Linked DNA regions of Oryzias latipes. Each later gene encodes a partner of the first gene's protein in a complex. Links are inferred from orthologs where the notes say so. Each region holds a gene or a part of one and is shown in the gene's direction. Other genes may lie near its edges.

Evidence for each region.
Region 2: the proteins of lrrk2 (region 1) and ras-related protein Rab-7L1 are in contact, whole or in part, in a cryo-EM structure (PDB 8FO2), measured with the Homo sapiens proteins. The link is inferred for Oryzias latipes from reciprocal best matches to the Homo sapiens genes LRRK2 and RAB29. Residues at the interface, in NP_940980.4 of Homo sapiens: Arg361, Lys362, Arg399, Met402, Leu403, Leu406, Met407, His408, Leu437, Ser438, Lys439, Gly440, His442, Leu443, Asn444, Glu447; in NP_001129134.1 of Homo sapiens: Leu7, Val42, Asp43, Phe44, Ala45, Leu46, Arg58, Gln60, Trp62, Leu76, Tyr77.

What each region holds. Positions count from the first base shown.
Region 1 is NC_019864.2:2,194,918-2,198,746, reverse strand, and holds the start of lrrk2 (leucine-rich repeat serine/threonine-protein kinase 2), read left to right. Parts: upstream 1-1,025; 5' UTR 1,026-1,355; coding exon 1,356-1,491; intron 1,492-3,135; coding exon 3,136-3,221; intron 3,222-3,829. UniProt on the Homo sapiens protein: Serine/threonine-protein kinase which phosphorylates a broad range of proteins involved in multiple processes such as neuronal plasticity, innate immunity, autophagy, and vesicle trafficking.
Region 2 is NC_019865.2:28,348,169-28,352,091, forward strand, and holds the start of ras-related protein Rab-7L1, read left to right. Parts: upstream 1-1,080; 5' UTR 1,081-1,198; coding exon 1,199-1,316; intron 1,317-1,965; coding exon 1,966-2,037; intron 2,038-2,114; coding exon 2,115-2,296; intron 2,297-3,447; coding exon 3,448-3,569; intron 3,570-3,923. UniProt on the Homo sapiens protein: The small GTPases Rab are key regulators in vesicle trafficking. Essential for maintaining the integrity of the endosome-trans-Golgi network structure.

The sequences.
Region 1 (3,829 bases):
AGCTAAATATAATTTTAAAAACATTACACCTTCCTTGTAAAATTACTAATTTCTGAAACATCATTGTATGACTTTTTCATCATTATTGCACATTTATTTTCGTAAAATGGTGACTTTCGCTTCTAATTTCATTACTTTATTGCACAACTTTATTTTCATAAAATGTTGTCTTTTTTCGTTTTAAAAGCAGGGCTTTATATGCTCATGAAGCTTAGCCCTTTTTCTAATAAATTGACAGCTTTCTTTTAGCAAAATATTGACTTTTTTCTCATAAGTGCATTACTTTATTTTTGTTACATTTTTAATTTTTTCATGTAATTCTACGACCATTTTCATCATATTTTACTTTCTTTCTTGTGGTTTTGTGACTATTGTCTTAACTTTTTCGCTTGTCTCTTTTTTTTACAACTTTACAATCAAAATTTTGATATTTTTCTAATACAGTTATGACTTTATTCTCGTCTATTTCTTTAGGCTATTTCTTCTTATTATTATTGTGGCCCTAATACTCTGTCGTAAAACATATTTGTAAAATGCGATTTTTAATTTTGGTATAAGACTAAATGAATTTATTTCCACATTGGGACCTGCATAGTTTTTTTTCTTTACTGGACCACTGACGGTCCATACAACACTACCGTAAATCCGGGCGTAAGTGCGCAATACAATAAAAGTTTACTCTTTCAGGTAACGAAAAGAAAACGGAGACTTCTTTAATAAATCTAGCATCTGTTCAGCAGAGGAGGGATTACTGTCAGGAAGAAGGGTGATGGTTTTTAATTGGCCTAAAATAACAATAAGAAAAGAAACGGCATCGTCAGTGTAAAGTCTTTTTATTGAGTTTTCTTTGTTAAATTGACCATTTTACGTTACCGACTGTCATGAAGTCAAACGATGAGCGGACGTGAGCGAAGCTGTCAGGCGTCGTGAGGAGGGCGGACCGGAACGGACCGGGTCAGTCAGTGGGACAGCTGCCAGTGAGTCTCCTGTGTAAACGGGAAGTGTTTTTCAGACTCGAGTCATATGATTGAAGTGCGTGGAAACAGGAACTCGCCTGTGAAGAGAGAGGAACCGCGGTCTTTTCGGATTCTCCGAGGCCGCAAGAAGGAGGAACACGTTCTTCTCTCAGAGAAAGTGGTTCGAGGATGAGGTCAGGGCCGGAACTCACTGAGTTACTCAGGGACCGCGTCCCCGCCCGGCTCGGCTCGGCTCACTGTCGCTGCAGGAACATGGAGCAGCTTAGCTAACGTCTACGGCGCGGTGAGCGCGAGCTCTTCTTCGTTCGTCTTGTTCTCCGGGAAACACCGACCGACTGACCTCGACCAATGCACTAGTACCGGGAGACTTTCAGGAGCATGGTCGACCAGGAGGAATTAGAAGAACGGCTGAGGAAACTTCTGGTGAGGCTGAAGTCTCCTCAGGAGGACAGGCTGATGTCCACGCTGATCCAGATCATCCAGGATCTGCTCTCCTTGGCGCTCGAGGACTCCGGTAGGAACCACCCCCCCCCCCCCCCCCAACACCACCAAACGAAAACAAACAAACAAACATCAACGTCTTAGCCTCCCATTTACAGAATATTTCAAATAGTTTGTTTAGCAAAGACTTGAATGTCCCTGAAAAGTCTGCATGATGTTTTTTTTTATTTGGGTTTATGATCTTAGATGTACTTTTATTATGAAATCTATTTGGAAAATATTCCCCCTACAATAATTTCAATAATAATGGTCATTTTTAAAATGACTTTATCCCTGTTGAAACTCCATTTCCATGGTAACGGCACAATGCCACTGCCATGAGTGGACAAAAACAAAGCAGGACTGCTTTAACTCCAATGAATCCATGTCTGAGGGTTAGTACCTCCGACAGGGTCAACTCTGCTCTCCCGTGTGAGCAGACATCGTGCCCCGGAACCACCTGAAGGACATCCAACCCCCCATTCTGAACCTGTGATGCTCAAGGGCATGCCGGCAAAACATGTGTCTTTTTAGTTCATCTCTCAACCTGCCAGTTTCAGATCAAGCCGACACCCAAAAAACAGAAATGCTCTCCAGCCAGAGGTCCTGCTGATACCTTCGTTTTGACTCAGAAAAGTTCCCCTAAAACACAGGCTTTCATGCAGATAACAGCTGCATGTAGAACGACTAGAATTGAGTCTGCCTTCAAATGTCTCCATCTGAATTTTAGAGTCGTACATCCGATGGTTTTGGTGTTCTTGTGGCATTTTTTTTTTCTCATGACGGAGGACATATATTTTTGAGTATTTTTGGGTTCAAATTTTTGTAAATTGGGAGTAGATGACAAAATGCTGTTTGTAAAATAGTGATGTAGATGTAATAAACTGGGGGGGGGGGGGGGGGGGGGGGGGGGGCACACGCTTCCTGCTCTGCTCCATTCTGATGCATCCACTTGCAGACGAATAGATCCACGTATGACTTTGATTTCTCAAACTGGACTGGAATCCGGATCAAAACTGTACGGCTGCATATTGCCGGGCGATGTTGCTCGCCTTTTGGTTACATCGATTGGGGTTGTGAGGGTCTGTAGGCTAGTGGGAGAGACTGTGAACAGATGGGCAATGGGAAGAGGGGGTTGCTCTGCAACGGTCCCACCCATAACTCAGAAGCAAATTTAGAATGAAATCCTGCTGCTCTGCAGGAACCATGTCCTAGATTATGACAAATATTTTGAATTGAGCTAAAAACAGCATAATTATAAATAAAAGGCCACTCAGTACGCTTTGAAAATAGATCAAAAGAGGATCAGAGTGGGACTTTAGTTGATGACCAAATCATGAAATACTCAGAAATGCAGTTTGAATTTATTTTCTTTATACATGTCTTCCATCATAAGAAACATGGCAGAGGAAAATGTTCATTTTTAATGTTTTTATTTAAACAACAACAGGGACCAATAAACAGACATTTTACTTACTTCCACATCCTTTAAACTTTTAATTTCAAACAAAGTTCATTCCAGAATTGGCAGTAAATTTTTCATTTTTCATTTTTGATCCAAAAACTACGTTGTGGGTTCTTTACTTGTGATGGATTGGACTGAATTTGCCTCCACGATGTTACCTCCTCCTCGTCAGGTCCTGCTCTCTCATCCAAGCTTTCTTTTGTTTTATTGCAGCAGCTGAACTGTTTAAAGACAAAGAAGTGCACACACCTCTTATGGTTGTGCTGTCCACATACATCAGCAGCAGGAGAGTCCAGCAGGTAATGCAAGGCCTTTCCCCATCAAATCAACAGGAGTTTTTAAATCAGCTGGTATCCACAACCAGTCTAAGCTCTCAGAGTGGGGTTCTGATGCACACGTGGACAACATTTTTGTTACCCTTCCGTTATTGAAAGAAAAGCTCGATGGTCAAAGAAATTTGAATCTGAGAAAAGTAATAAGTAAGGGTTAATGGCCGACGAAGTGTGCGTTATTACTTTTTAACGCACGCCGTGGAAGCCTGAACCGTCCGACGCGAAGTGCGTTAAAAAGTAATAACCGCACACTTCCAAGGCCATTAACCCGCTTATACCATGGTCACTTACAAAATCTATACATTTGAACCAGTTTTTTAGTCCTTAATTCTTGTTTTTTTTCCAATTTGGATCACTTTTCTCACAAAAAGCGGACTATTTGTTACGTGATGGACCACCGCTGCAGTCAAGATTCGGCGATATATATATGCTGATCTTTCCAATGGGTTGAATGAAGCATCAGTTCAGAGAGAAAGTTCACCTCTTACCACTTGTTTTTGTCCAAATGATGAAGCAAAAGGTTGTTTTGAAGAAGCCAGAGCAGTGATACAAAACATTTAAACTAGGTGACCGGA
Region 2 (3,923 bases), on another chromosome or scaffold:
ATAAAACAAACAGGAAAAAACGCAGAGAAGAGAGTCATGTACATGACTCAGCATGCGACTGAAACATGTCCAGCAGTCGATGACAGTGGCCTAGTTTACAAACCTAGTGGACAAACCTCATGGTTTAGTCTGCATGGTTTCTTTGTTTCCGTTTCATTTTTGTGGGGAAAGATTTATTATTAATTATAACCAAATGGAACACATCTTATAAATTGTAACTCATGCTGTCTTCCTATGTGTAATATGTAGGACTACTTACATTCCCTAAAACAAAACAACTGATTGAAAAAAAATAGGGATTAAAAAAGGGATTCAGCAGGTAACGAAAATGGATGGATGGAAATTAACATAAAAGTGTCTGTCACTAGGCTAGAAATGGGTTTATCTTTGCCTTAAAACTTGAATTTTAAAATGAGATTTGATAGGAAATGACTTCCCTGTGACACCAGCCCCCAGTGGTTTGCATTTAATTTGAGATTGGGAAGTGGACGCTTTATTCTACTGCATTCAAAAAGTGTTGTCTGTGTTCTTTTAAAGATCAGAACCAACACGTACGCTGGCATCATAAACCATTGAAAAAGAAACTATTACATCCCCTTTATTCACCTTCTAAACCTGGTTTAAACATCCAAAAGGTAGCTTGACCATGTTCAGATGTCTAAGTGCACCAAGTTCCTCCAATGGAACCCATCCGGGGTTCTGACAACCAAAACCCCGGATGTCAGAGTGACAGACAGAGTGGAGAGACGGAAACTACGGCCATTTGTACTATTTTCAGTTTTTTCAAAAGCTTTGTGTAACCCTTGTGCCATCCTAGGCACTTTAACATTGGGAGTTGGGTCATCTAGACCCACTAGACAGTGCGCTGAACCTTTTTTCTTCAATGATTTGTCAACCTCACTGCTGTCCATGGATTACATGAAATCTTTCCACCTTTATCCACCTTTGTCATGGTAGGGAGAACACGTCAATGCAAGGGTGAGGTCATCTAAGATAGCACAAGGGTTAAAGTCTCTGTTTGAGTTCTGTAAAAGATCCTCATTTTCTTCTTTTATATTGTCTCGTACTCTTGCAGTTAAATGCTGAAATAAAACATTGCATGTTTGCCTCATAAAGCAGATTTCCGGTTTGAACTTTGAGCTGCTGGGAACTTCACGACTAACTTGATCATGATCATGTGACAGAGAGAAGACGAACGATGACAGAGCACCTGCTGAAAATACTGATTGTTGGTGATGGAAATGTTGGAAAATCTTCCTTTGTAAACCGTTACATCAGTGGAAATTTCAACAGAACATACAAGATGACTGTAGGAGGTACGTTCATATCTTCTAGAACTATACATATGTGCTCTTGTTACTTTATACTGGTATTCACAAGAGAGGAAGCTCTACTTCCAGGTCAAATTGTCAGAATAATAAATCCGCTGTGCAATCTACCTTTATTTAAATATATATTTGTATATATATTTGTCTTGTTTAGTCAGAACATATTGTGTGTAGCAGTTTTTTTATTTCCTTGAATAAAATAAAATACTCCAGTTTACCTAAAATATGCGTAGAAAGGTGTGTTTTCTTTGTCCACACTGTAAGACGAGCGCTGTCAGGCTTTTTAAGCTGACTGGCTGGTTTCACCTTGAGTCACTGACTTCTTTTATGACTCAAACACAGCCACCTGTGTGGTTCAGGTTGAGATCAGCGCCCACTGTGGTCAACATGCAGGTTGTGGTCACATGGGTACTGACAGTATTTGTGTAAAGCTGACAGGGAGCAGAGACTACAGACGGCTTTAGGCATGTTTATGCAGTAGCTGTAATCCGTAACAGAGGCTAAACGCTGGTTCATAATCAACTAGAGGCCAGACGTTATGTGTCACACTCACTAAAGGATGGCTGCAGTGGAAGGAAAAAACACTTTTTTCCCTTCATTGTGTTCTCTGTTTGTGTTTTTTCAAACACACTTCTAGTGGATTTTGCTGTTAAACTGCTGCACTGGTCCGATGAAGAAAAAGTCAGGCTGCAACTTTGGGACATAGCAGGTACAAAGTGATTTCCAAACCAACCTTTGCTGTTATTGGTTATGGATGCAACAGTGAACTGTGTGTCCTCCTTTCAGGCCAAGAACGCTTCATATCCATGACCAGAATCTATTATAAAGGTGCAGTGGGCTGCATTGTGATGTTTGACATCAGCAGCTCATCCAGTTTCCTAAGCTGTCGCCTCTGGAAACAGGACCTGGACCACAAGGCCATGCTGCCGAACGGAGACACAATCCCCTGTCTCCTGCTGGCCAACAAGGTCATTCAGTCATAATACTTCATGATACATCAGTATAATGAACAGGCTGCTACACAACCAATACACATGTGACTGCAGCTGATTGCTGATGGGCTTCACATGGAAGGTTTTTAAAATTCTAAATGGCTCCAAAAAAAGGTTCTTGTTTCGTTACGGCAGCTGTATAAGTCAAGACACCCGCCGTCACTCGGTTGACGACAATTGAAAGAGCACAGTCAATGAGACTGAAATAGACCTACTTATCACTGAAAAACAAAAGGGAGTTGGAACAGTGACAAATGGAATAGAGGTCTTGTTTAAAAAACTGGAGAGAAACAATCTGAGATCATGTGTAGAAAAAAAAGTCTAGGCATGTCTGTGCAAAAACAAAAGTGTGTATTTTTATTATTTGAAACAAAGGTTTTTGCAGCAGCAGATGTTTTTGTTTCAGCATGTTATTGTAGTGTTTGTATTTACTGTGTATAATCATATGGAGAATCGAACTGACTGAGTGAGTGTGATGTCACCCATGAACTACTCTCGCCAATCAGGAGTGAGCTTGTTGGAAGGCCACACCCCTACCACTTGAAAGTAAGCTCTGGATATGAGACCACATACTTTTATTGAGGCATCTGATGGCAAGTTTATAACTTGAAAAACTTGCAGTACAGAAGAAAACAAATATTGTGAATTAAAATTAGCATTATCAACAACATGTTAAAAAGGCTAGAGTAAGAATGGTTATTCAAACAAATTGAATGATATTCAGAGTAATAGCTGTTTTTTTCTCTATAGAAGACTGCGGGATTTTTAGCTACTTCCAACCAGCAGGAAATTTCCTGTTTGGAACACAAGGGAAGAGGGGTCACTCAGTCCAGTTCTCATATACAGTCAATGGTGTAAACCTAACCTGACAAACCATGACTGTATTATCAGTTTACCAGAACATGAGCGGATCTGTTTTTCCTTTCACCAAAAAGAAAAAATTGGTCTCATGATTGTTTTTGCCAATCTTGTATTGGCACACTTTAAACACAAGAGCAAACCAAAACAAGAGAAGACACGACAGCTTCTGACAGTGATATCAACTTATTAAACATGAATCGCAAAAGGGTCTTGTTGCAGTGAATGCTGAGAGATTCTCTGTAAGTTACTGTCCTTTGCTGCTACAGTGTGACCTGGCTGAGCGGGCCGTGTCGGCAGACACTATTGATCAGTTTAGCGGAGCTAACGGCTTCTTCACCTGGATGGAGGCTTCTGTCAAAGAGAACAAGAATGTCGGAGAAGCCATGAGGTAAAAAAAGAAGACTCAATGTCAATGTAAAGAAATGATTGCAAACCTTTTAGAGAGTCATGACAAAAAAGTATTTAGTCAGCCACCAATTGTTCAGGTTCTCCCACTTAAAAAGTTGAGAGAGGCCTGTAATTTTCATCATGGGTAAACCTCAGCAATGAGAGACAAAATGAGAAAATAAAATACAGATAAATCACTTTGTCTGATTTTCAAAGAATTTATTTGTTTACTATTGTGGAAAATAAGAATTTGATCACCCACAAACAAGCAAGATCTCTGACTCTCATAGACTTGTAACTTCTTCTGTAAGAAGAACCTCTGTCCTCCACTGGTTACCTGTATTAATGGCTCCTG